3 linked regions of the Tribolium castaneum genome follow. The protein of the gene in region 1 purifies or fractionates together with the protein of each later gene. This does not show direct contact. Links are inferred from orthologs where the notes say so. Each region holds a gene or a part of one and is shown in the gene's direction. Other genes may lie near its edges. The genes, in order: Nelf-E, TH1 and negative elongation factor A.

The links.
Region 2: the proteins of Nelf-E (region 1) and TH1 purify together in Homo sapiens (affinity purification with mass spectrometry; 9 studies listed by BioGRID and IntAct, counting the BioPlex papers as one, with this or other methods). This does not show direct contact. The link is inferred for Tribolium castaneum from reciprocal best matches to the Homo sapiens genes NELFE and NELFCD.
Region 3: the proteins of Nelf-E (region 1) and negative elongation factor A purify together in Homo sapiens (affinity purification with mass spectrometry; 9 studies listed by BioGRID and IntAct, counting the BioPlex papers as one, with this or other methods). This does not show direct contact. The link is inferred for Tribolium castaneum from reciprocal best matches to the Homo sapiens genes NELFE and NELFA.

The regions. Positions count from the first base shown.
Region 1 is NC_087394.1:37,089,605-37,099,440, reverse strand, and holds Nelf-E (negative elongation factor E), read left to right. Parts: upstream 1-5,255; 5' UTR 5,256-5,335; coding exon 5,336-5,416; intron 5,417-5,459; coding exon 5,460-5,950; intron 5,951-6,000; coding exon 6,001-6,055; intron 6,056-6,706; coding exon 6,707-6,818; intron 6,819-6,870; coding exon 6,871-6,944; 3' UTR 6,945-7,018; downstream 7,019-9,836. Other genes in the region: Snx16 (sorting nexin-16), read right to left, coding at 1,583-1,649, 1,699-1,835, 1,884-2,192, 2,263-2,440, 2,486-2,640; queuine tRNA-ribosyltransferase accessory subunit 2, read right to left, coding at 2,928-3,051, 3,113-3,238, 3,710-3,909, 3,961-4,581, 4,625-4,741; titin, read right to left, coding at 7,065-7,786, 7,838-8,975, 9,021-9,836. UniProt on the Homo sapiens protein: Essential component of the NELF complex, a complex that negatively regulates the elongation of transcription by RNA polymerase II.
Region 2 is NC_087394.1:30,825,990-30,836,515, reverse strand, and holds TH1 (negative elongation factor D), read left to right. Parts: upstream 1-4,070; 5' UTR 4,071-4,182; coding exon 4,183-4,239; intron 4,240-4,287; coding exon 4,288-4,728; intron 4,729-4,778; coding exon 4,779-4,928; intron 4,929-4,984; coding exon 4,985-5,115; intron 5,116-5,161; coding exon 5,162-5,349; intron 5,350-5,395; coding exon 5,396-5,648; intron 5,649-5,764; coding exon 5,765-5,975; intron 5,976-6,023; coding exon 6,024-6,164; intron 6,165-6,209; coding exon 6,210-6,339; intron 6,340-6,365; exon of another isoform or gene 6,366-6,386; coding exon 6,387-6,421; 3' UTR 6,422-6,479; downstream 6,480-10,526. Other genes in the region: Urm1 (ubiquitin-related modifier 1), read right to left, coding at 2,551-2,619, 2,669-2,717, 3,326-3,407, 3,612-3,682, 3,735-3,757; nop5 (nucleolar protein 58), read right to left, coding at 6,480-8,028, 8,081-8,157, 8,214-8,258; transcriptional protein SWT1, read left to right, coding at 8,737-9,207, 9,264-9,411, 9,460-9,615, 9,784-9,887, 9,937-10,324, 10,372-10,511. UniProt on the Homo sapiens protein: Essential component of the NELF complex, a complex that negatively regulates the elongation of transcription by RNA polymerase II.
Region 3 is NC_087395.1:19,623,649-19,633,943, forward strand, and holds negative elongation factor A, read left to right. Parts: upstream 1-4,401; 5' UTR 4,402-4,445; coding exon 4,446-4,655; intron 4,656-4,787; coding exon 4,788-5,042; intron 5,043-5,093; coding exon 5,094-5,271; intron 5,272-5,321; coding exon 5,322-5,666; intron 5,667-5,714; coding exon 5,715-6,034; intron 6,035-6,096; coding exon 6,097-6,423; 3' UTR 6,424-6,631; downstream 6,632-10,295. Other genes in the region: intermembrane lipid transfer protein VPS13B, read left to right, coding at 1-287, 336-571, 618-1,802, 3,529-3,715, 3,767-4,335. UniProt on the Homo sapiens protein: Essential component of the NELF complex, a complex that negatively regulates the elongation of transcription by RNA polymerase II.

The DNA.
Region 1 (9,836 bases):
AGCGCTACTACACACTACAACGTCTGAACAAATAAGAAAATTGCTTGTACAATAATGCGTGAAAATTATGACCAATACGCGCACAAATTACTCCAAAAATCTCCGATTTGTAATACATATAGTAATAAAAGCGATAATGTTAATTATGTTGTCTGTTCAATATCGTGTGCAATATCGAAATTTAAACAATGTGGTGATTAGTAAACAAATACTGATGACTCCTATAAACATCTGATGTTAAGCAATGGACGAGTTGAAATTTTCCCAAAATATTATGTGTGGTGATTGTGAAGGGTAATTGGCGTAATTATTATATAAAGAGAGTGGTAATTCGAGGCTTCCTTTTGCATTGACTTGCACTCTAGTAACTAATAAATTAAGTAATTATTAAGGTCAAGTGTTGTGTGAGATGAATTGTAATATCGATTTTTTCGCAATGATAAGGAATCATCATTCATCGGCTTATCTGTAACTGGGGTCTTAAAATGTGTAAAAAATAAATCAAGTGGAAGTTTTATCGATAGAGTCGATTTTAAAATAATAATGGGGCAAACAAATTTGTTTCCAACACTGTCACACAAAATATAATAAATAGTGCTTTCGAATTTTTGTCTATTTTTTTTTTAATTTATAATGTTTTTTTCCCGAAAATTATTTCATAACCTGTGAAATGAACGATTTTATGGCTCGTTTTTGAGAAATTCGGTTAATTGGAAAGGTTGTGACTAAGAAACAGTCGAAAATCGACGTCAAATATTGATAAATCCAGAGAACACAAATTTCAAATCGCGCGCCTGTCGGTCATACGTCAACGGCGTCAACCAATGAGACGTCGTGCCATGATGTCACGCATTAGAGTGGTGGGGACGCATTTTCACGTCAGAGCGTCCTCAAGTTTTTTGATTTTGTGGTGTGTACAAAAGTGTTGTGTGTGTGTTTTGTGCCAAAATGACTGAAATCCAAGGTTTTTATTGGAAATCTGACGAGGTGACGTCATCGGTTGCAGTCTGGAACCGAATTCTGAGAAATGCTCGAGAACGCGCCAAAAGCAAGAGGGACGCTACCTCAGGTCAGTGTTTTTCGTCATGTATTTTATCGAAAAACGAAATAATCTTGAAATGTTTTGCTAATACCGAGCACACAAAACACCAAATAGTGTCTAAAGTGTTTTATTTTTGTTTTTCATCGAGGTTTTAAAAAGGGGTAGAAAAGTACAAAGTAGGACCTGGAAACGCGTTATTTTGCTTTGTGTCACTGGAAAACTTTTTAAATCGGATTTTTTTCGTAAAATAAGGCGGAAAATTCCAGGTTGGAGCATTTTTTCGGTTGTTTGAGAAGGTTTTTCACAGAGAAACTCACAAGTTCTCGCTCACACAAAAGTTTGGTGAGGCTACTTTCCTTTGTTTTTATGAATTGAGAATATTTTTTAACAAAAAAACTCACTAAGCTTTGAAATAAAAATACACAAAAACATTACGTTATATATTTATTTATAAAAGCTGCACATTAGTTAACTTAATTGATTTAATAATACACTGTGATGGTGCGTTAATATAATACGATAAATAAATAAAACCCTTCGTCATTTAATGAGTTTGGTAAAATTTTCGCACTCCTTTTGACACTTCTGGCAGTTCATCACCGAATTCCTGCAATAAAAAATTGTGCCAAAAATTCACAAAAAAACTCACTCCTTACTTAATAATTTTTAGTAAATTATCGGCCTCTAACGTCTTTGAATGCAACGAATCTTGCAACGAGTCAATAATTGCGTCTTTTTCCCTCAATTGCACCTTCAAATCATTGATTGTCTCCTCTAGAGCTTCAAACATTGCCTAAAAAAAATTATTACAAGAAGAGACAACACACAAAAAATGACCTACTCTTGACTCCTCATTCGTTTCGGAATAAATCGGCGGTTCATTCAGACAGAAAAAATCCTGTATTTCCTGTGATGTAATAAGTGACGGTTCAGCAAGTATTGCGTTAACCAGAGTTTGCAAACCGCTGACTCTTTCTTCAAGAAATAAGGGATCGAAATTGTTCTTCAACCACCTTTTTCGGGGGAGGAGCTGGACAATGTGGGTGTGGGAATTGCGTATTCTATTGCACAGCCTTACAAAGTCGGTGTAACGCCGGAAAACGTACCAGCAATCGCCACTCACTTTATTTTCAATGCGCAATTTGTAAACCTACATTTTTTTGATAAATTCGTTGTTTTATTCCACGTTAAAACGATAAAATGGTATTTTATTTTATTACCGTAAAACGCGCTCTTTCTTCCATAATCTCATACCCAACTATCGGAATTTGTATATTGTTGAGATTGTCTCCGTTGTATGAGAAAAAATTGGCGTTTTCTTCAGGAATCGAATTTTCTTCAACTAGTGTTGAATTGGAATCATTGGAAGTCGTGGTGGAATATTGGAAGTTGCGATATCTGTCCACTAATTAATTTCCAACTCTTTGAAGTAAAATAACTCACCTTAAAGGTTCTGATAGGTAGTCTTCAGAATCAGTCGTGATAGCCTCCTCAGCGGTCTCACAATCTTCATTATTGTTCCCTTGAAGTGGGTGCCCCATTTCTTGCACTTTAAGTTGGCTTAACTTATCGCTAATCTCTGATTTTTGCTGATCCATTGTTTAAAAATAGTCATAACCTCAAAACTGCCACGATTAATTAACACCAACTAACTGTACAAATCACTCATTGTGAAATAATTCATTTAATTAAGTATTTAGAGCACAAACGTAAATAATGGAGACAACAAACTGAATGACTTAACCTTAAAAAACAGCTGTTTTTTGCGAATCGAGGTTAAGTAAGGGGGGCGGGACTTAAGTCAAGTTATCAAACGGACAATTTATTTAAAAATAATAGAAAAACAGTCGTACAACACGAAAATTTTGTACAATTTGGTGTCCCGTCACTTGGTTTTTTGGTGGTTTTGGAATTGTTCCGTTATGCTCACTTGGAGTGCTTGTAAGGTGTTTGATTTCACGCACTTGCGGATTTTTTCGAAAAATCGCAAATAGTGGTACACATTGTGTCTGGAAAATTATTATTATTATTAATCATAATTATATTTTTTCTTCTAATTAAAATATTCACATCATCACGAGGATTGGCCCCAGGAGCTCATGTACTGATAGCAAGTGGTGTATGTATGCCCTTGAATATTTTGTGCAAGACGTGCAATTGCAACCAGTTAGAATTGGCTGAAAATCGTCCAAATATCTGAAAAAAATTGACACTTTTTGTGAGAAAATACACCAAGCATTCAATTAAATTTCGATAAAGTGGGCTGTGATTTTGGAATTAAGTTGGCAACAATAATGTCAATTCTGGTGATATGCTGCATTTGGTTCATTTTCTTGAACAAAACTTCATAAAAAAGTAATACAAAAAAACCCAAAATGTTGTCAAAAATAACGTTATTTTGCGCGAAAATCACTTAAATTGTAACGAAATTGTTTTTTTCCAGCTGTATATTAGCTGTTTCGACTTAGCACAAGAATTCGTTAAAAATAAAGGGAACCACAAATTTTATCGAAAAAAACTCGTTTTTTCAACCCTTTAACTAAATTTTGAACAAAATTCTCTCTTTTCCTTTGTGAGTTATTGTTACTAAAGCCTGAAAAATCATCATTGCCAACATAATGTTAGAACCAATTTAATCAGAAATTTAACTGAACAAAAAGTACCTACTTTGCGTCTCTTAGATTTATTTCATACGTGTCTGTCTGATCTGTTGGTTCTATCGCAAAAGTCATTGCTGCTGATCTTTCAGTGAGAATATGACAATATGAGGAGTCAAACAAATCAATCCCCATTTCGACCAAATTAATAACATTTACGGGATTCCAACAGCCTTGAATGACCCGTAGTTTATCAGTGGGTAATTTATTCTAAAAAAAAATTACCATAAAATTCGAAATAATGAAGCGGTTGTTAAATACCAAAATATTTTTCACCACGGGCTCAATTTCAGCAAATTCCAAAAACTCGGTCTCGGGACCATTATTATGAAGTCCATCTATTAAAAACCCACCTACATCTTTGACATCTGCTAGAATCGATTTGAGAAACTTTTCCCGAGCTAATTGTTTATAACCCCCCACTACAGGAGCAATCACAAACGAATTGGCTAAAGTTTGCGATTTTCGGTGTCTCTCCAAACACTCCTTGTAGAAACTGACTGTGTTACTGAGTGATTTTGAAATGCGTTTTTCCGAACTGCTGATATTGGTGTCTCCATCAGAGAGCAAGAAATAAATGTCAGGCTTGAAAGACTCCACCACGTCCATGTAGCTTTTAGCGTCGTAATAAACCTTGCCGTTTTTCGTCCAAATGGGCACTTTTAACGTGGAATTGTGCCCCTGTTTTGTGATATTGCAAGGGTCTTGAAGAGTGAGACAAGTCAGACTGTCTTTACTACCAATGAAATTGGAAATGGTCCCTTCGTAATACTGCATCGCCTCTTTAAACGTGTGCATCCCAGCTAAAGGGATTTGCAAGATCTGGGGGTCCCTACTGACCAGTTTAAACACCTCATGTGTAATGTGAGGGATTTGACCGCCCTAAATTAAATTTTAAGGACAGTTAACCAAATAGGGGACTCACCTGTGTGTGGAGCATTACTGCAGGAGTCTTGATCGAGACAGAAGGCTTGGCATCGATCTCTGAAAGAGTCCCCAAACGTTGGGCACACTTTGAGACAGATTCCACGTAAAATTTCATCGTTAATTTACACTAAATGCACTCGGAAAAGTGTGAAAAAGCAGTCTATACAACTAAAATCACTTCCAGAATTAGGTTTTGACAAATAAAGCAAACATGACATTCAAAAATCCGAAAAAAGTGGACACATGCCGGCCTAACCTTACTTTTGCATGCCTCACAAATGGGAAAAAATAGATGACAGGGCGCAAAAACACACTCATTTACGTTTTAAAAACGAACTTCACATGATTTCATTCATTAATATACCAAAACTTTGCCAGTTTTTTCATTATTTAATTGTGGTTGTTTTGTAGTTTTTTTGGCATTTTTTGTGTGGCAACGTGTGACATATCGAAATTTACAGTGGCCCAGTACAGTATTGCGTGAATTAAAAAAATAACTAGCGTATTAAATTTTGGACATTGAGTTAGCTGACTGGAATTGGTTATAAAGTGAATAGTTTATCTAAATTAAACAATTAAAATTAATTGAATTATGAACTAGTACTGTGATTTTCGACCTTTTGCACATTAAACCGCTGTTAGTGTTGATGTTTATTCATCGAACTGTCATTCAGTTTGCAAATTGGACAAGTTTTTTTTTGATTAAACGATGGTTTACATTCATTTTCCGGCAAATTTCACTGAAGAGGAGCTCATGCTCCAAGCCAAATACCAGAAACTTAAGAAAAAGGTAAGTGGAACGGTGTAAACAACCTTTTCTAACTTCCTCTCAGAAAAAGGCTTTGCAAGCCCTGAAAGCCCCCAAACCCGAGCCCGAAAAGCCCATTACGCCTAAACGGCCAGCGGAGGCTCGAGATGCTCGTGAGGTTGCGAAAAAACTTATCAAATCCGGTGCCATTCCGGCCATTTCCAAACAACAAAAACAGCCAGAACAGGGCTTTAAACGGCCTAGAGGCTTGGAAAGAAAACTGATTTCGGATAAAATTGTGAGTGGTTATCAGCCTTTTTCGGCTGTGCAGATGGACGATGGGCCTGATAACCCCGAAAATAAGCCGCCAAGGATTAAGAATTTGTATGATACTTTTGCTAATGCGCGTGATAGGGAAGAGAGGGGTTTGACTGAGAAACAGAGGGAAAAGCCGGATAAACCCAGGCAAGGGAATACGATTTATGTGTCAGGGTATAAGATAACGGAGGAGTTTTTGAAGAAGCATTTTTCAACGATTGGAAATATTGTGAATATTTCAATGGAGATTGAGAAAAAGTATGAGGGGGTACAATTTTTATGTGGGGTTTTACATGTTTGGGTTTTAGTCGCGGGTTTGTCACGTTTGATAAGGTGGAAGCCGCCGAACGGGCCATAGCTGAGGTAGGTTTTTATTTGTGATTTTTTGGTCATTGTTTACAATAGTTTTTTATTGAGTTACAAAAGAGAAAACACGAAAAAATTAAAAAAGAATTTTGTGTTTGTCTCAAAAATGTGCTTAAAGACGTGAAGAAGGTGAAGAACAGTATTTTCGGCTTAATTTGCTTGTTTTTCTTACATTTTGTAAATAATTGTGTTTCTGGATAACAAACGAGCTAGTCTTAGAAAAAAAAGGCAAGAATAATGTAATCATCGCAAAAACTGTAAGATTTTTGCTTTAAAAGTGTCTTTAAATTATTGAAAACGGTAAAAATAACAGCAACTTTGACAAAATTTTGTGTTTTTACTGATTGAATTTTCGGCACAATTTCACAAACTTTCGGGAGGAAAACTGTGATTTTGGTTTAGAAATTGTTACATTTATTAATTGGCGGAAAACTATAAAAGTAACACCATATTCGAACTAAATCGGCGATTTTTTGACGTATTATTTACTCGGTCATTAATTAAGAAATATAAAATTCTGCGTCTTAATTTTCTTGTTTATTTGAAAGCAACAGGTGATTGTGACATTAATATTCAATTTTTTTGGTGTATTATTGGTTATTTTATTTTATTTCTTATTTGCAAATTTATTAACTGAAAAATTAAAAGATGGATGGGAGTATGGTTTCGGGGATTCAGCTCAAAGTCACTCTAGCGAGACGACAGCCCCAAATAGAGCCAATAAATGACGCATCATCGAGCGCAGCGTGGGCCACTCTAGGTAAAAAAAGCAACAAAATAAAAACTATAAACTTGATACAACATTTTTATAGCGTCAAGTCATTCTCAAAAAGGCAATCACAGGGATAAGAGAAATTTAGTGTCGTATGATGATATGTTTGACTAAACTTACGTAAGGTGATTTATTAAGAAAAAACCCGCTTAATTATAATAGTATTAACAATAAAAAATTGAATAATAGTTTGACTAAAAATTTATTTACATAACAAATCCATTGAAAAATCCCTTACATGTCCCTCGGCGGATTAAAGTACTCCCAGTGATGATGATGCACCGTTTTCCCATCACCCGCTAATAAAATCAATCCCGCAATTAAAACCAACAAAATCACCATCATTACATGCAAATCCTGTTGCCCATCCGCATTCCGTATCAAATTATCCCGAATATGCGCAATCAGTCTTTTAATCGTGCAATTAGCTGCCGTTCCGCACGCCCTCACCAATTGCCCCGTCAGCTGGGGAATGGAAGGGGGCTCAGGCGAGCGCACACGTCGTCGTGCCGGGGGCGGCGTCTCCTCCGAACTCGACCTAGAAACGGGGGTTTTACGATGACGCCGCCTTCGATAAGGCGCCATAGGAATGTCCTCATCCACGAATTGTTGCGCTCGCAAAGCGTAGAAACTCGCAGGGGGCTGTGAAGAAGGGGGCATGTAGATGGGGTCAGGGGGACGCGGAGGCGGCGTTTCCTCAATCGAGACGCTTCTCACCGGGGGCTCTGGGGGGCGCTCTGAAACGGTAAGGGGGTGATCAGTCGGGGAATCAACGACTGAAAGGGTAGGGGGGTCGTCTAGAACTAGTGATGATTTGCGAGGGGGTCGCTGGGGGGGAACGTCAGTTACTTGTTCAATCGGAGTTTTTTTTTGCTCGGGTGGTTCACTTGGTGATGCTGATTCTTCATGTGGTGGTGCTGGTGGTTGGAGCTTGTCGAGGAGTTGCTGGATGAGACCTGGAGCAGAGAATGTTACATTACAATTACATGGTTAATTGTAACACTGACCTGGAGGTAGCTCGATTTCGCCCACTTTAAGGGCCCCACTTTTGGAGCTCAGATCATTGGTTTGGATGCTTCCACTGTCGATCTCTGATACTACAATTCTGCTGGCTAATAGTTCGTTCACGTTTAGTCGATCGATATCCAAATCGCTCACTTGTAATTTCTGAGCTTTCAAAACTTCAACTTCGGTGTTTGAATCAGGTTGGACTATAACAGTGCGTTCTGTAACTGTCGGTGGAGGATCCTTCAGTTTGGAAAATTCTTCCGGGATTTCGGAAGTTTCTTCATCTTCTTCCTCAACCGGAATCGTCCGTTCTTTGGGTTTATCAATCCGGGTAAACTCATGGTCTGGTAGGATTTTAGCCCCGTTTAAAGGCTCCACAACCAGACTACCATGAGTGATGGTTTCTTCTTCATATGTGTAGTTTGTTGGAGTTATCAACCGTATCTCAGTAGTTTGAGTCGAAGCTTCCGTTTCCTCTACAACTTCTTTTTGTTCTTCACTTTCCTCAACCGCGATATTTTCCTGACTTGTGATGTCGTGCAAAGGCTTGTTGGTTTTATTCCGAGGGGGCCTTGGAGGTGCTGGCAAAGGCCGGTCTTTCATTTTCTGGATCACAACCCCTGATTGTAAATCCCTGTTTGGTTCCTCATCAATTTCAATATACTGTGTTATATCGATATTTTCCTTCTCCTCATCGGTCATATTCGGTACAGGGTGTTTCCGTCTCGGTGGTCTACTGGGCCCCAAAGTACTATAATTCCTCAAGGGTCGTACTGGTGGTTCCTCCGAGACTGGTCTAGGCACAGTGAAAAATTTCTGTTCGGATTGAATCGAACGTTTCCGACGTGGGGGAGTTTTTGGTGGTGGTAATGGTGGTTCCCTTCTTATGTTCTTATCAACGATTGCGTAACCCATATGGTCTCGGAAATCCTGGACACATGTTTCTTCAACACACGGTTGTTCTTCAGTCAAGGATTCGGCTCGTGATCGGGTTCTGGAGCGAGATCTTGCAGGTCGGGAAGGGGGTTCGTCTTGAATTGACTTGGAGCTGGAACGGGAGAGGGTTCGTGAGGGGCGAATGGGGGGTTCCTCCGGGACTGGGATTATGTACTCGTGTTCGGTTTTGTAAACTTCAGTCTGGAAGAAATTGTTAAAATTTTAATTATTTTAAATGAGACTTACATCCTGGTCCTGGTCCTGGTCAAAATCCCCAAGGATTGATTCGTGTTCCGAGTAATTTAGACTTTTTAAACTGCGGTGTTTTCGTGGCGGAGCCATTGGTTGTTTTTCTTCTTCTTTAAATTCTTCGTCTTCACTTTCATATCCGGTGTAAGGGTCGCTGATTTTGATTTCCGGTTGTTCTTTTCCTTCCATTTGCTCATTCTCGTACATCATGACTCGATTTTCGTCTTCAACAGCTATGGTTTCTTGATACGGTACAATTTCTTCCTTTTTCTTGTTCCTTTTGCTTCTTCGTTTTGGTCTTGAAGGGGGTGCTTCAAGTTCAAGTTCCGAGTCCTGGTCGAAGGATAATTGTTCCTGTGACACGTGAGGTGTTTTCTTCCGTTTAGGTTTCTTCACAACTTTTCGTTTCGTAGTCTCGGGGAGTGAAGTATTCGAAGCGCGAGTTTCATACGAGTAAGGTTCAGTTTGCAAGTCATTTAGAGCATTATTAGGGGATTTGAAAGCTTCCCGGATTTCGGAGCTTAAATACATCCCGACTTCGATATTATCCTGTGAGATTCCCTTCTGTCGGAGGAAAAACTCATCTGAATCAATTTCTTCCAAAACACCTCGTCGATGTATCCCTAGGGAACTTTCCGACGAGTGAATGTCTTTACTCGTGTTGGTGTCAAAACTCTCATGTGGTTGTGGCTTATCAATGGGTGAGTCTAAATCAGTGACTTGTTGGTTGGGTTCGGGATGGAAGCTCCCATGGTCCCATCGGCTGTTGTAATTGTGACTAAAGGGCGAAGCGGAGTGTATTTCCTGGTTTTC
Region 2 (10,526 bases), about 6.3 Mb from region 1:
AGGACGTGCACAGGACGGCATAGCATCCCGATATGTGGAGAAAGAAACCGAGACTCAACTGCTTCAGACAACGCGGATATTGTTTCATCTAAAAGTTCGCTCGTCTAATCCATAAGCGATTTCGACTGTCTAACTTGATAACTAATATTCAATGACTGCCCTCGAACTTGTTGAGAAAAGTTTTTACGGTCCCAAAGTCATTCAATAAAACCCTGATTATGTGTTTCTGACACCCAGCGCGATCGCCACACTTGAACTTGCCGAATTAACGAAAGCTCGACACCAACAACCACCAACAACTCATACACTTTAATAAATTGTTATTTTCGCCTTATTCCAATTAAATTTTAGCACAAATAGTTTAGACTAGTTTACAAAAATTGGTGTTAAATAGAATACTCTAACCATAACATTTAAATAAAACTTTGTTCAAGGTGTGAATTATGGTGGATGCGCCGGGCAAATATTTACCGAATTTAATTATTAAAATTCTTGCAGCAATTGCTCAAAGGATCTGATTGTTGAAATGATATTACAACATAAAAAAATTCTAAAGTAAATGTTTATTAATTTTGATACAGCATAATATTGGTTAAAGTATTAAAATTAATGAACGAAAGACTATACTTGTGTGGCTTTTGTGAATAGAGTGTGAACACGGGCGACAAAATAGGCATCTGAACGTGCTGGGGCAGTCATTGCGTAGGTGTTGACTTTAAAACTCCCCGAAGGTACTCACAATTTCAAATAAAACTGTAATTGTATGGGCAAACGACTGGTCTCTGGATAACAGTCCCTCTTTTCCAAAATTAACCCATAATCCGAACCCCACGGAAACGTAACGTGCGAGCGATATAGCACGTAAATTTTTCTCATAAACACAGGCACATTTTTGAATTGCATAAATACGAATTTGGATGAACAGGTTTAAAATAAAAAAAGCGAATAAATTGTATTAAAAGTAGGTATAATAGCCGGTGTAAATATCGACTAAAGGAGATTACAGCGGTTAAAAATGAAACACATTCAAATGATTTTCGGATTAATGTCAGTTTTATTACACAGCCGAAAGCAGAAACGTACAAATGTCGGAAAGGTAGCATCGTAAATAGCGCGAAATCAGAATTTATTCCCAATTTCGTCAATATTTGTTTGAACTGGATTCAAAAAGTGTATGGTAAGACATTACATATGTCTCGACACACCTCAGTGCTGCAGTCAACCGGGTTGAGCATCATCTACGCACAGGATCTCCATATAAACGACATCATTATCCTGCGATGGTCCTGTCCGCCTTATCCTTTACAGCGGCAAAATCATAAAACTTAACCTTAATTTAGTATATTTCTTTTAGGAAATCGTTCCCTCCTACTTATGGAAATTTAATGACCAATTTCCCCAATTTTCTCAAATAATTGCCACTTCTTTCGCCATTAAATACAACGCTCCGTGTACTTATAACAATAATGATTTTATGCGTAAAGTTTCCATCATTATGATAATTAAACTCGAACTCAATTATAATGTATCGTTAGGGAAACAAAACGGGTTTTTCGCATAATTCTCGATGGCTCATCGACTTTATGCTAATTTATCCAGACGTTGCGGGAAGTTATGCAAAGATCAGATATTCGAAATGGTTGGGACGACAATAATCCATAAGTAAAATCTACGGTAGAATCGTGAACAATGAGATAGTAAAGATTTCTTATTTCTGCTGACACTGCACTTAGATATTCAGAAAGTACCACAAAGGTAATAATATTACGTGCTCTCGGCTCTTACAATATCTGATCAGAGCGATAAATTTTAAATAAAATCATTATTTCCGAATATTGCGCTCCGCCGGTGAATAGAAAGAGGGTTAACACCACACCAACAAACTATTGTGTGATGCACTGTGTATCTTGTTATGTGATCTCTAGCGATAATTTACATATAAGGGCCACACTGGGTGTAAACTATCTGACCACATCGATTTACGAGCCTATTTACACGACGCCGCTGCTCCGATAATATTATGGAGAACTGTTAATGCCCTCACCAAAACCGCGACATAGACAACTGCTACTTTATTGTCACTCAACCAGTGGTGAATGCGGAGCGCCCAAGTAAAAGTCTACATTTTAAGCGTTTCCAAAAAAAAATTTTTCTGTTTCTAGCACAGTGTAAGCACAATAATAGTGAAATGTAAAAAAAATAGTTTCTTATTTTTTCAGTAATATATGCCTTTTCTTTAGTTTCTGGAAACTTCCTCAAGATCTTGCTTTGTCAGATTGTCATAGCATAACCAGCGGACAATAATTAAAAAAAAACTGCCCGAATTTGGCAAAAAATGCAGGTCAATACATATAATAATCTATCAATAGAAGAAAAATTCTCATTTCCTTTTAACCATGTTTTGACAAAGATAGAATTAATCGACCCAACTATCGTAAGTAAAAAAAACAAGAGGAGTCATTGGCCAAGGTGTCATGACAGTAAAGAGTGGAAGCAGAAAAACACATCATAAACAAATCTTTTATTTAAAAAAAAACAGATACAATAAAATTAACCCCCGTGTAATGTGGAAATAAACAATATCCTATCATTTTCCCGAATGACATAGTTAACAGTGTCCTAAAATGTAAATAAAGATAAAAATTTGTATTCCCTAACTGCAATTTACCATCAATTCCCAATCTGCGTCATTGATTAAGACGAGTATTCCAGGTCGCCTACAAAAAATAATAAAAGAGTGAGCGCATTTTTAAGCGCCGGAACGTAACAAGCTATACAAGAGCAACTAATCAACGCGGCGTGAGTAAATAGATGCTGAATCAATTACCTATGCGGATCATATTGCTGCATACATGCATCGAAACAAGGATAGTATTATAAAAATAGAGCAGATTTTGTAATTTCGTGGAAAAAAGGGAAATATGAAACTCGGAACAAATTCATTTGTCAACGATAGCAAAAAATGAAATACTGTATTCATCACATGGAGGGCTCAGAAGCCAATCTGTGTATTTATTTCACTTTTCGTCAAGTAACTTTTGTGGGACAGGAATCACTCATTGTTAACTTTTACAGAAGCGAGTCCTTCAATAACGATTCTGATTTTCACCTTTTTTTATAAAGTAAATTTTAAGAATGCTTATTATCCCATTTTTTTGCTAATTTGAGTTATACTGACTGGTTTCTGAATCCTGCATGTAAATAATTAAGAAAATTAAAAAAACACGTATTATTTAATCTTACTGCTCATAATTCACCAAAGAATAAAATACATTTTATAATTTAGTCTGAATTTAGCTAAAATAAATTTAGTAGGTATACTTACACAGACTCATCTTGCAAAAACAGTTCTGGTCGCTCTTTCAATAAATTATCTTTAATCCAAATAAGTAAATCCTTAATTATCCCTGCAATATAAGTTAAGCATATTAAGCAGTTAGCATAATAGCAATAAAGTATAAAAGATATCCACAAATGTGTTTCATTTCTTTAAAATAAGCTAATCAAATCAGGTGTAGTAAAAATTGATAAAATGATAAATAAAAGACTATTTGCGATAAATGCTTTGATTAAAAGTCAGTAAAAAAGTGAATTATCCTTATTATCCTTACATTCCTTGTCTTTTTCAGGTAATGTTACATCGTGACTCTTTTTGTTATCAAAAAGCAATTCAGCACCACCCCTGAAATATTAAATTATACTACAGTTTTAGCAAAAAATTAAACAATTCTCACCCAAATTGCACCGTTATGTGCATTTCGGTTTATATTACTAAAAAAATAATTACAAAAAATTACAATTTGATTCTCATAACCTTTAATTTCATAACATGTCAAGTTCTGTCAACCATGTTAGCCAATCCAGTTTATAAAATTCCCAAACAATATTGTACTGTTTTATTAATTTATTATTTGGTGAATAAAGTCAACTAATTCAATTTTGGACCTTTGAATGTGTCCCGGATTTAATAAAATTGTACCATGAAATTCTAGTTACGGAAAATTTGGGAATTGCTTTATAATTTTCAAATCTTTGTGGGTCAAAGCCGCCAACGTACACTTCGCGAAATAACTACTAGTTGGTAGTAACGTCAAATTTCGAAGGTTATGTTATGTTTAAGGACGCGACTTTTTTATTGTTTTAATTTATATAACTGCCCCAGTTATATGTAATTAACTTGCAATGGATGAAGAATACGACGAGAGAAATTGGGATACCGTTGATCGACTCGATAATGACGTGAGCATTTATTGAAATCTTGAATCTTTCAACAACTCGTATTTTTAGTCAGATGCGGGCGATGAAACGGAAAACCCTGAGCAGGTCCTTAAGGAATGCGCGGAGAAATTTTCGACCTCAGACTACATAATGGAACCGGGAATTTTCTCCCAGCTGAAACGGTATTTCCAGTCTGGAGGAAACCCCTTGCAAGTGATTGAAGAATTATCACAGAACTACACCGCCGTAGCCCAGATGGCTAACTTGATAGCAGAATGGCTAATCACAGGTGGAGTCAATGTAACTTCGGTTCAAGCAATGGTGGAGAACCACTTAAAAGAGATGATTTTGAAAACATTTGATCCCAAAAAAGCTGACACGATTTTCACAGAAGAGGGTGAGACGCCAGCTTGGCTGACACAGCTAATTGAACATCCCACGTGGCGGTCACTGATTTATAGATTAGCTGAGGAGTATCCAGACTGCTTAATGTTAAATTTCACAATTAAGGTTCGTAAAAATTGCCTTAAGTGTAACATGAGTAAATGTGGTAATTGCAGCTTATTTCCGACGCCGGTTTCCAAGCTGAAATCACAAGCATTTCAACGGCAGCTCAACAGTTGGAAGTCTTCTCTAGAGTACTCAAAACTTCAATTGCTAGTTTTTTGACCAATCCAGAAGACTGGCAAAATACCAGCAAGGAGTGTGCAGTAAATTATGCAATTTAACACTTGAATTCACTAAGAAAAAAAATCTATTTTTCTAGAAAATGGTGTGCCACGGCCAGCACACATACGTTTACAGTCAAGTGATTATCCACGTGTTAGCTCGAGAATCCAAGGGTGGCAGTAGCATGAAGCGACTGTCTCAAGAAATCACGAAATGCGCCCAAAAAAAGTATAATTTTTTCTAGTAAACACAAAAATTATTTATCCATTTTCAGTGGCCATGACGTAACTCCAATCACAATGGCGTTAAACGGCGCCTCTGCATACCCTCTGGCCTGCCAGGCCTTGACATCAATGCTTTCAAAAAATACACTTAATCCAGCCGACATTACAGTTCTGTACAGAAATTACAACGCTCCAGACCCTCCTCCCATTGATTTAATCAGAACTCCGCAATTTCTGGGTTTGTTTTTTAACGATTCTGAATATATGGTAATTCACAATTTCAGAATTATTGATTGATGCCTTGTTTAAACCTGGAGTAAAACTCAACCCCGACCACAAGCCCAAATATATCCATTTGTTAGCTTATGCAGCAAGTGTCTATGAAATGCAAGCCAAAAAAGGGCAAAAAAGAGTGGTCAATAAAGATGAACTTCAAGCGACTATTCATTCAATTGAAACGGTCCACAATATTTGTAATACCAATAAAGGGAGTTCAGAGCTAATGGCAGAACTTGCAACGCTGTATCAGTGTCTCAGGTAAGTTTCTAAGATGATATTTTAATAAAAACTGAATAAATTTTGTAAATAAAATGTCGGTAAATCACCATTATCAAAAACATTGTCAACTAAGAAACTTATATTTATTTTTTTAGGTATCCAGTCGTTTCTGTTGGAATTATCCGTTGGGTTGAGTGCACTGTTACCGAAGCAAGTTACTTTAAATTGTCAACAGAACACACTCCAATTCATTTGGCGCTCTTGGATGAAGTAGTTACTTGTCACCCTCTTCTCCATAATCAAGTACTCGACTTACTAATCAGGTTGTTTGAATCCAAGCAAGACGAACTGGAAATTTTAGTCCAAGTAAGTTATCAATTTTTTTACGATATTTTTCAGTTTTTTTTTTGTTAGCTTGAAATGCGCAAAATGGTCCTTGACAGAATGGTAAATTTGCTATGTGCTGGATGTGTGGTACCCGTTGTAAAGTACATAAAACAGTGTTGGCAAAAAGGCGACACGGACATATCCCTGATTCGTTACTTTGTAACGGAAGTAAGTTACTTTGTTAAAAATGACCGGAAAATGCAATTTTTGTAGGTTTTGGAGACCATCGGGCCCCCTTATAGCTCCGAATTCGTCCACTTATTTATGCCAATGGTTGAAAATGACGAAATTACGGGAACAATGAGAGGAGATGGGGAGAACGACCCCGTGTCTGAATTTATCGGTGAGTGGGAAAACGTGGTAAATCAATTTCTTATTGTTTGTTTTTAGTCTATTGCAAAGCAAATTACACCGCTGTTGTATAACAGCACCTTAATAATAAGAATGTCTATTATTGTAAAAAATAAAAAACCTTCCGCTAAATTATTCATCTTCCTTGGAAATGCTCTTCTTCTTCTTTTTCTTTTTTCCACTTGTTGGCTCTTCAACAACTTCAGGCGGAGCTTCGCTCTCGGACTTCTTCTTCTTCTTTTTCTTCCCAGGCGTCACCTCAGGTTCTTCCTTAACTTCCGCTTCCACCTCTTCCTCCGCTTCCTCTTTCGCCTTCTTCTTCTTCTTTTTCTTCTTCTGGCCCTCACCACTGTCCTCATCCTCCTCCTTGATACTGTCATTGGTCTCATCCGTCTTGACCTTTTTCTTCTTCTGCTTGGGAGTCTCCTGAGTCGTGTTCAACTCCTCCTTCACTTGCTCCGACTCTGACCTCTTCCTCTTCGAAGTCGAAGGTAACGTCGAGTCGGCAGCAGCAGGATACTGCTGAACTTCCGAAACCCCTTGATATTTCTCAAACTTGGCCTTGGCTTTCGCCGTCCCGCTAATTCTCCTCAAATTCCCCTCTTCCAAAATTCTAAGACGTGCTTCCAACTTGGCTTTGTGCTCCGCCCCAAGCGTGAAATTCCCGTCTTCGCCTAGAGCATCGACTCGAGTTGCGAGGGCTGCTTTAGCCGCCAACATTCGAGACATTTTCCCCTTGTTTTTGGTGCTACTTTGCCCCACTAACTGGGCGTGGTAGATCAACCCGTACTTCGGGGTGTCTTTCTTGGTCTTGAGGGCTCGGAATAGCGCCTTCTCAGCCCCCAAAATCTGCACCGTGGAGGCCGGATGTTTGGCCAAGTTTATCAAAGACCCAGCGTGCGAAATCAAACGAGCGCCCACCAAATCCCCAACCAACGTTGTCAGGTTTGGGGCCATCGCCATCATACGGGCCTTCAAATAGTCGTACAACTGGGTGCGATAATTGGAAATTTCTACAACTTGGTCGCACAAGTTCTGAATGTTTAAAATATCGTCGTCGGATATCTCAGTACCCATTGATATTTCAGCTGCCTCCTTGACTTTCTCCTCAATTTCTTCGGGGAGAATGTCGGAGAGGTCAGAACTGGCGGTGTTATCACGCGTTCCGATGATTTTAACAGTTTTGACGAACGCAACGTTATCAGTGATTATTTTCCCAAGCTCGGGAAAGTGCCAACCGTACCATTCGCGGCACCTCATTATGTAGTTGTTGAGTTCTTTATCGAGGTCATCAAGCAACGAAACCGCTTGGACTATCATTGTATCAATTTTATCAGGCGAGAATTTTAACTTGTACCGTGATAAGGAATGAGCTAAACCTAACGCCATCGCGGTCATTTCCTTCTTAGGTAACCCCGTTATCAAACTGTCCAATTGCGACCGAATGCACCGCATCAGCTCCTGGACAGCTGTATTCGAAACGCATTGTAAATTGAACTTCTCTTTAATGGCAGACCCTAACTTGGCGTCGGCCACAAGCAGCTTGTCCTGCAATTCTTGGTCGATGTGCTTCTTCAGCACCTTCTTCAAGCTTTTCGAGACTTTGCCCTCGACGGCTGCAGTCGTGGCAGCCAGGGCTTCAGTGGTATCATTGAACTTCTCGAAATGTTTCAGCTTCACACTAAAACAATTTTACTAATAAGTTTGCATTTTGAAACTAGGACAGGTCGTACATTTTTCCTGCCGACTCGGGTGAATCAAATTCATGGTACAAATTGTTAACTTCTTTTAATTTGCTTTCATCCAGAAGCTGAAAGCATGGAAAATTTGAGGTTAAGTTTGTCAACAACTTTACTGCAGAATTACCTTAAACAGCGCGTAACCTGCCGCTGTCTCAAATAAGACCAACATTTTTCACTTTGTATTACAACAATTTATATGAAAACCCACCAATTTTTAATATTAACGATAAAAACCGGCAACAATTAGAAACCATGAGGTCTAGCGCGTCGGCGAGATTGTCGACTCGCACGAATTCCCCAAGAATTACCAACTCTTGGTTCTTTCCCCCACGTGCCTTTCCAATGTAAATCTAAATAAAGCAGATTTAAGATTATTTGACACCAGTTTACAAAAACCCAAGTTCTTTTTAGTATGTGTGGGAGTTGTAATTAGTAACTGGCGTTAACTGGTTACTTGTAAAAAAGTTTCAGTTTCACCTACATTCGGTTAAGTCGATCTTAACAACAGGTCGAATTCGGGTGCATTGTACATATCACGTGATCAAGTTAAGATGGCGTTTTGTTGTTGTTGTCAGCTGATTTGCGAGAAAACAGAAAATTGTTATTTGAAAATGAATTAAAAGAAGTTTTTTTTGCTAAAAATTAAAATGTCAGACAAACGAAAAGTCCTCGTAGCCAAACGAAAAAATGAGAGGAATCCTAAAATTTTTCCGGAAAAAATTGTTCAAGAGGATAGTCATTTAAAACATGGAACGAAACGTACCATTAGTGTTACGCCGAAAAAGAACATAGCTAATGAAAGGTTAAAGAGGCTTAGGACTAGCTTAAATGAAGAAGTTTCAAAATCTGCTCAATCTGTACCAAAATTTAAAGACAAGAATTGTGTGCGGAAACGACCAACTGATTCAGTGCAACATGAAGTGTCTACAAAACTGTTTATTAAGGAAAGTGCCTCGAGTTCAGGGGAATGTTCGAACAGTGAACCTGGAACTCCTTTCATTTTTAAAGAAGAGTTTCTAACACAAACGAATGTGTTTACCACTGAATCTCCAAATCCATTTGCTGTTGGCTTTCAACAGACAGCAGTTGTTTCAGAAGAGGATATGGAATGGTGTCCTGTATACTCTCTTGATTTAATTATTCAGTTTAATATTCTAGTTAATTGTCTTTTTAGACTGATATTGAGGAGTCCAAAAGCACAAGTGATAATACTTTAAATTCACAAATTACGAGTTCTTGTCAGTTTTATATTGTGGTTGACACGAATATATTCTTATCAGAGCTGAATATAATTGCTAACATTGTTACATTAGCTGTTAAAGGTAAAGAAATGTGTAACAATGGATAAATATTTATCACACTTGTTATAGGACCCAGGGAGCCAGTCATTTTCATTCCCTGGATTGTTACAGAAGAGTTAGACTTTATAAAGGGCGATTCAAACAAACGTAGCCTCAGACAGAAAGCTCAAGATGCCATCAAGTTAATAGAAAAAACTATGAGTAGTAAACATAATAGAATGAAAGGTATACTGAAACAATGTTTCACGTAGAAGTGTTTGCATTTTTTTATTATGACCATTGAACTTTATTTTTATTCTTTAACATGAGTCGCTCTAGTAAACAAAAAATTCACGGTACTTTTTTCATTGGATAAGGAAGCAGTGACAAAAGTAATAGCAATTATTTTTTCAGGGCAGACACTAATGGAAGCTAATGAACAGGAAAGTGTAGGTGCAAATCAAGATAACAAAATAATTGCTTGCTGTATGCAAGTTTTAGAAAAATATGAAAATATGGTAACACAATAATCCACATCGAATTATTTTGGGTGACTTAATTTTTTAGGTTCTCCTCACAAATGACATTAATTTAAAAAACAAAGCCCATTTCAATAAAATTCCCGTATGCTCATCTAAAGAAATAATGTTTAAAATACAAAAAATGCAGAATAATATTCCGCTTTCTCAAGAAATAATGCCAAAAACGCAGAATAAATCAGCGACTATTTTAAATATCATGACATGTTTATGTAATACTGTAATTCGTGAATGCGCTAAAAATGCCTATGGAGAAGCCTGTAACAGAATGCCAATATGTCAGCCATCATCAAAGACTTTAACTGAATGCATCGCTACATTTACAAAATACTGGTTTCCTGTGTTTCAAGAAGTAGTAATGAAACAGTGTAAGAATGCCATAGAAGATCTTTCAGCCTTTCTATCACAGCACACAAGTAGGCTATATTTTACCAAATTCCTATTAATGATTTTAATTTTTTAGCTATAAATGATACCTCAAAAGAATTAAATGACCTCATAAGACTTTGTCTAAGAGTTTGTCTATTTTTGAAGGACGTCGAGTGCTGTAAAATTATGACCGAGAATACGATACGGGATTTAAACAGTCTTAAAAATTCTTAGCGTTTTCTGCAAAAT
Region 3 (10,295 bases), on another chromosome or scaffold:
TCTCGTGTTGACTTCTCAAGAACGCAAAGGCCAGATTTACCTTTCATTATTCCACGACGATTCCCCTCAGACCCTCATCGAAAATAAAAGTTCCGTAAATTTGTATTGCGGCCAAGCGATCGGCGAAGGCGGAGCCGCAATACCAGAATCGAGACATTTCAAATGGTTCTCAAAACTCGAGTGTGGCTCCAGCGTCTACTACACAATGCCTTTCGTTTCGGAAAAATTCCCCGAATTACCCCAGACCTGCTTCAGCGAGAAAATAGTATTCGCAATAGGACCCAAAAGTAACGACACATTTTTATTGAAAATTGAAACTAAAAAAATTTTTTAAGCCGAAAGCGATCATTTCGAGTGGTCAAGTGCCGTCAGCATAGTCAACGATTCGGAACAATTCGTCAAAATACCGAACTTTGGCGACGTCAAATTGGTGGTTAAAGTCACGTCTTACACCACCTTGTTGTCCATTGAGTCGGTAAGTGGAGTCGAAATCAACGCGATTGACATCAGGGGGCGCTTGTCGCGGCATGAAATGGAGACAGTGCTCGGAAAATATGATAATCGGCACAAAGTACGGTCTTTTTGAATCGCTTCATTTATAAATAGCAATTTTCCAGGATATTGTCGCTGATAATAATTTCCAAAATGCGGCAAAAATTCTCCCAAAATTATCGCTCTACCAGTCATTGTTCAAACCAACCTTGCAGAATAACTGGGATTCGATCGAAGTTTTCGCATTCGTTAAATCCTTCAGTCTTGTGTTTCTCGCAGATCATGGCAATGATTCGGAAAAAGAAGGAGTTGCGAGTTTTAGTTTTGACGATGTGGGCGTTGAGCTTCGTCAAAGTGACGATTTGAAAGTTTCACTTTCTGTATTAGACATCCAGTTCGATAATGAGTTATATTCGAAGGAATCGTTCGATTTTCCTGTGGTCGTAGTAAGCCAGGACCAAAAACCGAAAAGTGGTGCCAACGTTTTGGAAAAAAATGCGAAAGAACTGATCAGGAACACCGACAGTGTGTTGATTTTGGATATGGTGGTGGAGACTTGGTTTGATGATTTGCGCAAGAAAAACGTGACTGGAGTGAAAGAAGTGAAGGTGAAATTAAATTCGCTTTCGATCTACGTCGAGGATTTGTACATCAATAAACTGATGGAATATTTCACCCAATTGTTTCCGATGCGACTGGCCGTGGGCGCAAAACCAGAGTCCCGCACAACGTCCAAAAGCGTCTCAGTTAGAGTCCCCGAGTTGGTTTTTTGGAACTCTTTAGTAATCGCCAAACCGTTGAGTCTCAAAACCATCACAGTGGAGCCCTTGTCGCTGCTTTTATCCGTCCATTGCTCCCTCAAAATGTACATAGCCCTGGACCAGTCCCCTCTCCAGTTTGCCCGGTTTGAAAGACGCCGCCTGTTGACAACCCCCTATCGATTGGGGCATGCAATGACCATGCACTACCTCTCGGGGGCCATTTTTGGGGCTGGTTGGGTCGTCAGTTCGCTCGAACTGCTTGGGAGTCCCAGTGGACTTGCGCGAGCGATGGGTATAGGGCTTCGCGACTTTATCAATTTGCCTTATCGGGGGCTTATACAGGGCCCTTGGGCTTTTCTAACTGGTGTGACTCATGGCTCGGCCTCTCTTATGAAACACGTGACAGCTGGGACGCTGCAATCTGTGACGAAGTTGGCGTCGAGTGTTGCAAGGAATTTGGATAGATTGACTCTGGATGAGGAGCATTTGAGACGGACGGAGGAACAGAGGAGGCAGAAACCACAAGGGGTGACGCAAGGATTTATGCAGGTATTTTCTTTAGTTAGTCTTCAGGGGAGGCCCAAATTTTTGGCATTAAATAAATGAGTATGGAATCCTGATGCAAAAAGCGTTACAATGGTGAAAAAATTTTATTACCGAAATATATGTTATTGTACACTACTAAACATTTAAATTTGAAATAATACCAAGATTATAATTAAGTTCGGTATAACATACTGCCTCCTAGTGCCTTCATGTAGCATTCGACATAGGTGATTAATAAAATTGTTATGTTCAATAATGAATTAAATGCAAAATAAGTGAAAATGAAGCTATTTTTTTCTTTACGAGGATACATAAATTAATAATTTGAAAAAAAATATATTAAAAAAAAACAGAAATTTTACAAGGTTTTGATTTTGTCACTATTTTTTAATGTTTTAATTTCTTTCAAATTAACGGGTTTATCTCCGTAAAGAAAAATTGTTTCCATTTTTTATTTTGCATTTAAGTGATTTTTTATCATACCCGAGATCGTAACTTTTTTTCCTTACCTCTGTCGAAAGTCAATTTAAGGAAGTACCATTGTACCAGGACTATTAGGAACTTAGTCAAAATAATTAATTGGTATTAGTACTACTTCAAATTTAAATGTTTAGCAGTGTAAAATTACGCAATATCTTGGTAATAAAAATTTTTATTAGAATTTTTTTTCAGTATTCGTTATTATATATACTGTTCTATAAAAGTAAAGGATATCTAATCTAATCACACATCAGTAAATATGCATCTGCCTTTTTTATATCTTCATTCTTTTTATTAGGTTTCAATGCTCGAAAAGTATTGTTTAGTATTTGTTTGTTTTTAAAATAATTAGACTTCTTTAACTGTGGTGGAACAAATGTGTACACTATCATTCCCTAAGTTATCTATGCGTATAAGTTAAGAACCTGTATTGAGATAAATATTATTTACAGTCTTCTAGAAGCTTAATTTTCTCGATTTTTTCGTAATATTTACTTTTTATTTTCTTATTTGTTTATTGTGAGCCTGTAACTATTTATTTCAAGAATTTTTTCGAAATGGTCAAAAAATTACGTTCTTTTAACTAATTCGTAAATAATAGTAGGTATACCAGTACGAAAAGTTGAACAGTGCTAGTCTACATACAGTGCTGGGCAAAAGTATGGATAAAACAAGCGTTTTTGCATGAATACAAAAAATAATTTGTATTATTAAGACTGTTAAAAATGTGATCATTTGTGAAGAATATTTTTTTTATAAATTCCTTTTAATTTTACCGATACCGTTTATGAGTTATGCAAAATTTAATTGTTTTAAATGGAAGTCTACTGCGACCATTTTTTGGTTAAAGATTACTAATTCAATAGTATTGTTTAAACAAGTTATTATTTTAATAAATTATTAAAGTTGCGTTCTGAGCTCATCATCAGTACATCACTCATTCATCAGTCTTTACCGAAGAGGTTGTTTTATTTATTCTCACCTTGTTGGGTGCACAAATAGTGGATATTACCATTCCATTGTAATAGACTAATGGAATACAGTTTAAAATAGATCAAAGAATGTCTTGTTACAGAAAGCTTTTTAGAAATTTTAAATTTCATTTCAAAATTTTATATTTTTTACCATTTTGCACAGGTTTTAAATAAGTAATTATGTAATTACTTAATAAGTTATCAATTCTTATTTGATGTATGTGACTAACTGATTACTGAGCTGGTTACAACCTATTACAAAAAAATTCTGTTAGGGCTTGACGGGACTCGGTATCAGTCTTTTGGGGGCTGTTGGAGGCATCGCCCACCACCCGCTTCAGAGCATAATGGCCGATGGGGCATCACCCAGGTCACTCGCAGCGGGTGTCGGATTAGGGCTAGTGGGAGTCTTAACTAAGCCTTTGAGTGGAGCTGCCGAACTGGTGGCGTTGACTGGTCAAGGTATAATAATCGTAAATTTACAAAACTGACTTAAAAAAATTAAAATTGTAGGATTATTGCAAGGGGCCGGGTGGAATCCCCTACCGCAACCTAGGAGTGACCTGGTCAAAAACCTGAATCTGTTAGATTCAAATTCAATGTTAAAATACGAATGGAAGTTACTAAGCTCGCTGACTTATAAAAATGTGCTTTTTGCGACTGAAGCAACGATGTTTAACGATTCTGAGTTCAAAGGAATTGGGTTGGTTTTGGCACCCGATGCTTTGATTATTGTGAATCTTGATGATGATAATGTGAAACGGATAATTAGTTTGGGGCAAATTCAAGTCGTTGCGAGTGATAACGACCCGACTTATCTATCCTTCAGGATTATGAAACAAAAGTGTGAGGAGGAGTGTGTGGTCGAAATGGACCCAGCGTCGAGGGCTCGAGTCGCCGATTATGTAAGAAGTACGGCAAGTTTGTTACAACTACCCGAAGTTAATCAACATTCCGTAATCATGGACGATACCAACGAACAGATTAATTGTTATGTGAATCCGCAAAATCGGAATTATTTCGTTTGCCTGCTAACACTAGCCAAACAAATGAACAGCAATTATAATTTTCCTGTGTTATAAACTGTTAATAAAAGTATGAAACTAAATGAGTGTTTAAATTTCCCGCTGTATTGTTGTAGTGCTTTGAGTGCTAGTCAGCTGGTTGTTGGCAGCACCGTTCCAAACGCAAAATGGCGAATGTGCGTGACAGCGATACGTCTTTATGGTTACACAATAAACTCGGAATTTCGAACGATTCCTGGACGGGGGGCTCAATATGCTCGCAATTGAACGCCGAAGTGTTACGCAACATCAAAGACTGTTTTCCCGATCTTCAAACCCAAGTGAAATTAAAGCTTTTGTTGAGTTTTTTTCACATCCCGCGCAGGAACCTCGAAGAAGTATGTTTACAAATAAAAGCCCCCACGGTTTCCACTTGTCGTTATTAACCCCTTGGTTGCGCCCCTTTTAACTTTGTCGTCTAATAAAGTTGTTTGAGGTTATGGCGTACTCACTTGCTACTTTGTTTTTAGTGGAAGTTAGAGCTGGAGCAAATCCTCGATGTGGCCGTCGCCGATTCGGAATTGTGGGTCGCGATGTTAGCTGAGGCTTTAAAAACGTACCCTTCAACGGGGTCCCTAAACACAGAAATTTCCGACTTGGACGAAGTGAGACCCATTTTCACCGATTTAGTTACAGATCTTCGGAAACTGGTTCGCAAACAAGCTGAGAATGTTATGCTACCCATGGAGTGCCACTATTTAAACAAATCAGCCCTTGTCTCTGTCGTAAGTCTCTGACATGTGTCACTTGTCACAATCACAACTTTTTTTTGTCAGGTTGGCCATAAACCAGAGCCTACTAAACACTTCACCATCAAAAAGAAACAAAAATCGGCAATTTTACGAGCAGATTTATTACAAAAATCTTCAGATGCGGCCTCAAATCTCAAAAAATCATCAGCTCCGGTCATTCCAGTGCGCTCGAGAGGCATGCCGCGCAAAATGACCGATACAAGTATGCATGATCGTTGTTTATTTGACAGTTGGTAGCATTATTTCTTGTAGCACCCCTGAAAGGAATCCCGAGTAGAGTCCCGACATCGGGCTTCCGCTCCGGTGCATTAAACAACAATATAAACAATCGGCCCCCATTGGCCCGCCCTCCAGCCGGACGCAAAGAAGGCGGAGTCAAACTCTTGGACATAGCCGATCAACCACTTGGCTACGCTGCGGCTAAAAAACGAAAGAAGATGCAAGAAATTGAAGACGCGAAGAAAAACACCGAAAATGCTGCCTTGCAAAGCCCCCCACCTGTTTCAGGCACGACCACCACTCCCGATTATGCAGCCGGTTTAAGCTCCACCCCAGCCTACGCGCCGCCCACGCCACAGCCCATCCTCGCACCAACCAGTAATTATTCGAATTTGAAGTTTGTTGTTCCTATTAATTTTTTTCCAGCAGCGTCTTCCATTTTAACAACTGCGGTAACAGCACCGGTAACTACGGTTACGACAGCGCAGGTGGCAACGCCGACCGTGAAACTGGCAACAGTGGCGGCGACACAGTTGCCAACTATGCGGCCTGTACCACCCCTATTGGCAACAACGCCAAGTGGGCAGAGGACGATTTTGACCGACCAATCGGTGAAGGCTGTCGGCCAAGTGTCAAATATTGCGATTGCGCAGAGGACGACTCAGGCCACGCCCACTGTGACGCATATCAGGATCCAGCCACAGACGACGTCGAATGCTTTGCAGAGGCGGGGCTTAGCATTAACGGTGGGTTTTTGATTACGAGTATATGTTAAAAAATTCTATTTTTTGTTTTTTTTTTTCACCAGAGGGAGCAAATGTTGGAAGCTCAGGATATGTTCCGAACTGCGAACAAAGTGACAAGGCCCGAGAAGGCGTTGATTTTGGGTTTTATGGCAGGGTCAAGGGATAATCCCTGTCCTCATTTGGGGAATATTGTCACTATTAAGTTGTCAGAGGATCAGGAAAATGTGTTGCAACCTGACGATACTTACCTGACTATGGTCGCAGAGACTCATTTCCAGATGAATTATAATAATGGAGAGTGGAAGAGAATCAAAAAGTACAAACATATTGATAATGTTGTTAATCAGATGCCACAAAATACACCAGCTCCTGCTGTTATTGGGAATTAAGAAAATTTTTTTGTTATTTATTTAACATAGGAATTGTTTTTTATTATGCTTCGTAAGAAAGAAATATTTATTTACGATTTTTAAAGTTTAAAAAAATCGAATGTAACGTTATGTTAGGTAAACAGTTTGATAAACTGAACGTTAAGTTTGTTGTACATATTTTGTAAATATTCTAATTTGTAAATAACTGAATAAAAAGCTACGCGCATGTTTACTTTTTTTTAATCGTTTGGAAAACGAACGAAATACAATGAAACCAACCCAAATCCCAAAATTTTGTAACATAAAAAAACTACAGGGTGATTCAAGTGTGTCGAGTCATCTCATGGATAAACGGCATCCAAAGTTCGTATGACAAAAACTTGTTTAATTTTTTTCTTTAGTAATCACACCATAGTCATCGTTTGCTATTAAATACTTTATTTTTCTCTTTATGTGATTTTTTGAAAATTTTTCTACAATTCCTTACAATTAAAATTAATTAATACTGTGTTGCTAAAAAAAAATTGGACATTCTGAAACATCCGCTTGAGTGTTTTGTGCAAGAATTGCGCAAAAGAAAAAAGCGCACAAGATAATGCTCACACAGAAAAAAGCTCACGGAAAAAACTCACATAGAAATAATCGCACTTAAAAGATACCTCATATGGAAACAACTCCAGACAGAAAAACAGTCCACACAGAATAACACCCACAAAGAAAAAAACTCACAAGAAAAAAGCTCACGCTAAAATTAACTCACTGGAAAAGAAATCTCTGTACCTAATCGTGGATAGATTTATAAATTTATAATTATTCGGATAACAATAAAAATATTTTATAATTTGAGAATCAGTTTTTGTTACTATTCAAGGAAAAAGTAAATTAACATATTCAAAAGTGTAACTATTCAATTTTTTTTTAGACAAAGAAACTTAATTTTATGTTGTAATTTTTTTGTTTTACTTATAAATTAAATTTTTTTTTAAATTGATTTCAGCTTTTCGGCGTATAGCTTAAACGGTACCTAAACCTATACTGAGTGATCTCTCCGCATTTGTCATTTTTTGCCATAATTTGTTGAAATCTTATTCACGCAAATTATAAATACCTATCAACAAATTATCCCGTAAGTTAGGGAATGATTTAGCAAAAATTTGAAGTTGAATGGGAAATAGGAAAACGCATCGTAAAGTAAAGTACATCAGAGTTTTTTCAAAAAATTGTTTTGGACCTAAATTTTAAGAACCGCTGAACCAGAATGATAAAAATTAGCTTGTTATTTCGCTAAAAAGGCCTTAAATTAAAAAAAAATTCGATAAAGGTACCTCGAGAGCGTTAAATGATAAAACGTTTACAACTGCATCACCCCGCAAATATTACAATCGACTCATTTGAAACGGTTTAGTTTTTTTTTTTTTCAAAATAACTAAGTTTTCGAGAAAATTGCTGCGATATTCGAATTGCTATACCCGGCTATAGCAAACACAAATACTTTTCTAACAATGATCATTTTAACAGAATTTAGATAATTGATGCAATCTCTATACGAAAGCGGAAACAAAAAAAAATGTTCATAACAATAACTGATAAAATTATCCCTCTTCTTTACGATTTCTGCAGGTCTTGGAGTGTTGAAAACCGCAACCTATATTATCAAAAGTGCACAAAAAGATGCCATAAAATGATTTTTTTAATCAGTTATGGAAGTGGAATAGGACAAACAAATAGTTTATTTACGAATAGGAACTAGTGGGCTTTCAAAAGAACGTGAGTTTTTATCCGTGTGGGCTTTTTTTGGTGTAGGTTTCCTTTCATGTGGGGTTTTTTCTTTGTGGGAATTATTCTGTATGAGCTTTTTTCGTGTGGGCTTTTTTCCATATGAGGTTTTTTCGACGTGGACTTTTTTCTTTGTGGGCATTTTTCTGTGTGAATTTTTTTCTTTGCGGGTTTTTATGTTTGTGGGCTTTTTTGGGAGCTTTTTTCTTGTGCGCATTTTTCGTGTGGGCTTTTTTCTGGTCAGCGGCGAAGGAGTATAGAATTGGAAAATTAGTTAATAATTATTATAATTGTTACAAATTTTGTGTGTAACGAAAAAAATTAATTTTACGATGTAATAAAACTCATCAAGTACCTACAACAACTTTATAACATTTTGTAAAATTCTTATTTGTTATTTTCACTATTTTTTTCCTTTCTCGTGTGTAAACGAGACGGTCAGTGTTTAATAATTAGTTTGTATTCATAGCAACAATCTTTATTGTTGTTTAAAATTGTTTAAATTGTCCGTTTCTATCACAACGAAAATAGCTCGGTACTTTTATTTTTGTACACAATTAAATTAAAAATAAAAATTAATTATGGAGCTCTGCTAGCTGTTAACTGTTAAAATTATCACACATATTTCTGATACACCTGTAAACTTGTAGCTCGTCCAGTTGTTTCAAATTTTTAAAAACATTAAAAAAAATCGCTTTCGGTAAAACCAGGAAAAAAGACTTCATATTCCTGAAAAAAATCCAACTTTTAAACTAATAACAGCTATTCTTCCACTTCAAATCCACACAACACCACAAGAAACCTCCATTTTCTCATTTGAAGTTGCGTCACAAACCGTCGGTTGGTCTCCCATGGGGACACACAAGCATAATTACATTCCGTGTAAAACCTAAATTTTCCATTAAGATGGATTTTCCATTTTAGCGCCAATAAATTTGAAGGTTGTCGTAAGCCGTTTACTTATTTTTTCGGTAATTTATTAACGCGATAAAAATGTAAACAGTGTCGACTTTAATGTGCACGGGAACAAAACATAAATGGAATATGTGTCTCTGGGGACGGCATTGTTTGGTGTAGACGCAACAAACTGCATTCCCAGATAAAGCACACTCGTCCCGGAGAAAACTAAAAAATAAATGAAACGAGAGTAAAAAGTGTGAAATGGGGAACAAAAAGCAGCTCGATGACCCGTTTTGATATTTACGTAACAAATTATCCCGATGCTAAAAGCGAAATGATATTTCGGGCTGTTATGGCAAAAAATATTCGGGTTGTTCGGAGTTGGGAGTGTTTTTAGCGACAAAGTTTGAAATTGTGATATTCGTTTCAGCGGAAAAAATGATAATAGTTTTATTAGTTTTACTTTGGTACAAGTTCCTTAATTGTTTCTTAACTTTTCTTTAATAAAAACGAAATTTTCAACATCAATCGCAAGCACAAATTGTACAGGGTGTTCCGTCCCAACCCCACATTAGAAGTATTTGGAGTTCTAGTAATGACAGTCATCTGAAAATTTGTATTGTATACAACCATAATCTTTTGGGTTCTGTTCAATGTAAATACAACATGGCGACATTTCCGGTTATACCGGAAGTCGCTTTCAGCTTCCTTATTTTGAATGGAAAGCTATATTTTTAATGCGTTTTTGGATTACTAGAATTATTTTAAGATAGTTTACATAAGCATTTCCTATAATTTTGCCGTTTACGAAATATTTAGAGTTTTCAATTTTTTTTTCGGATTTGCACCTTTAAGTTCAAAAATCGATAACTCCGCCATTTTTTGAAGTTTTAAAATATTTTTCAACTCATTTGAAAGAGAAAGTCTAGATCTTTCTCTTGGTGCTTTCAAATTTCTAAAAAAGATAACAAACCCCAAATTTTTAGAGTTAAGCTTGTAGAACTTTAAGCACCCATAACTAACAAGTGTGGCCTATGTGTGGCAATTGTCACAAAAAACGTATGTCTGGTTAACATTACAAAACAATGACAGATGACAGCTGTCAGTACCGTCAGTGTCAGACCAAAGATGCGGCCAAAAATTCACACGTTCAATTGAGCTTGCAGAGTAAATTCTTGAACGTCTGCATCATGATTTGCAATGTGATTTTTATC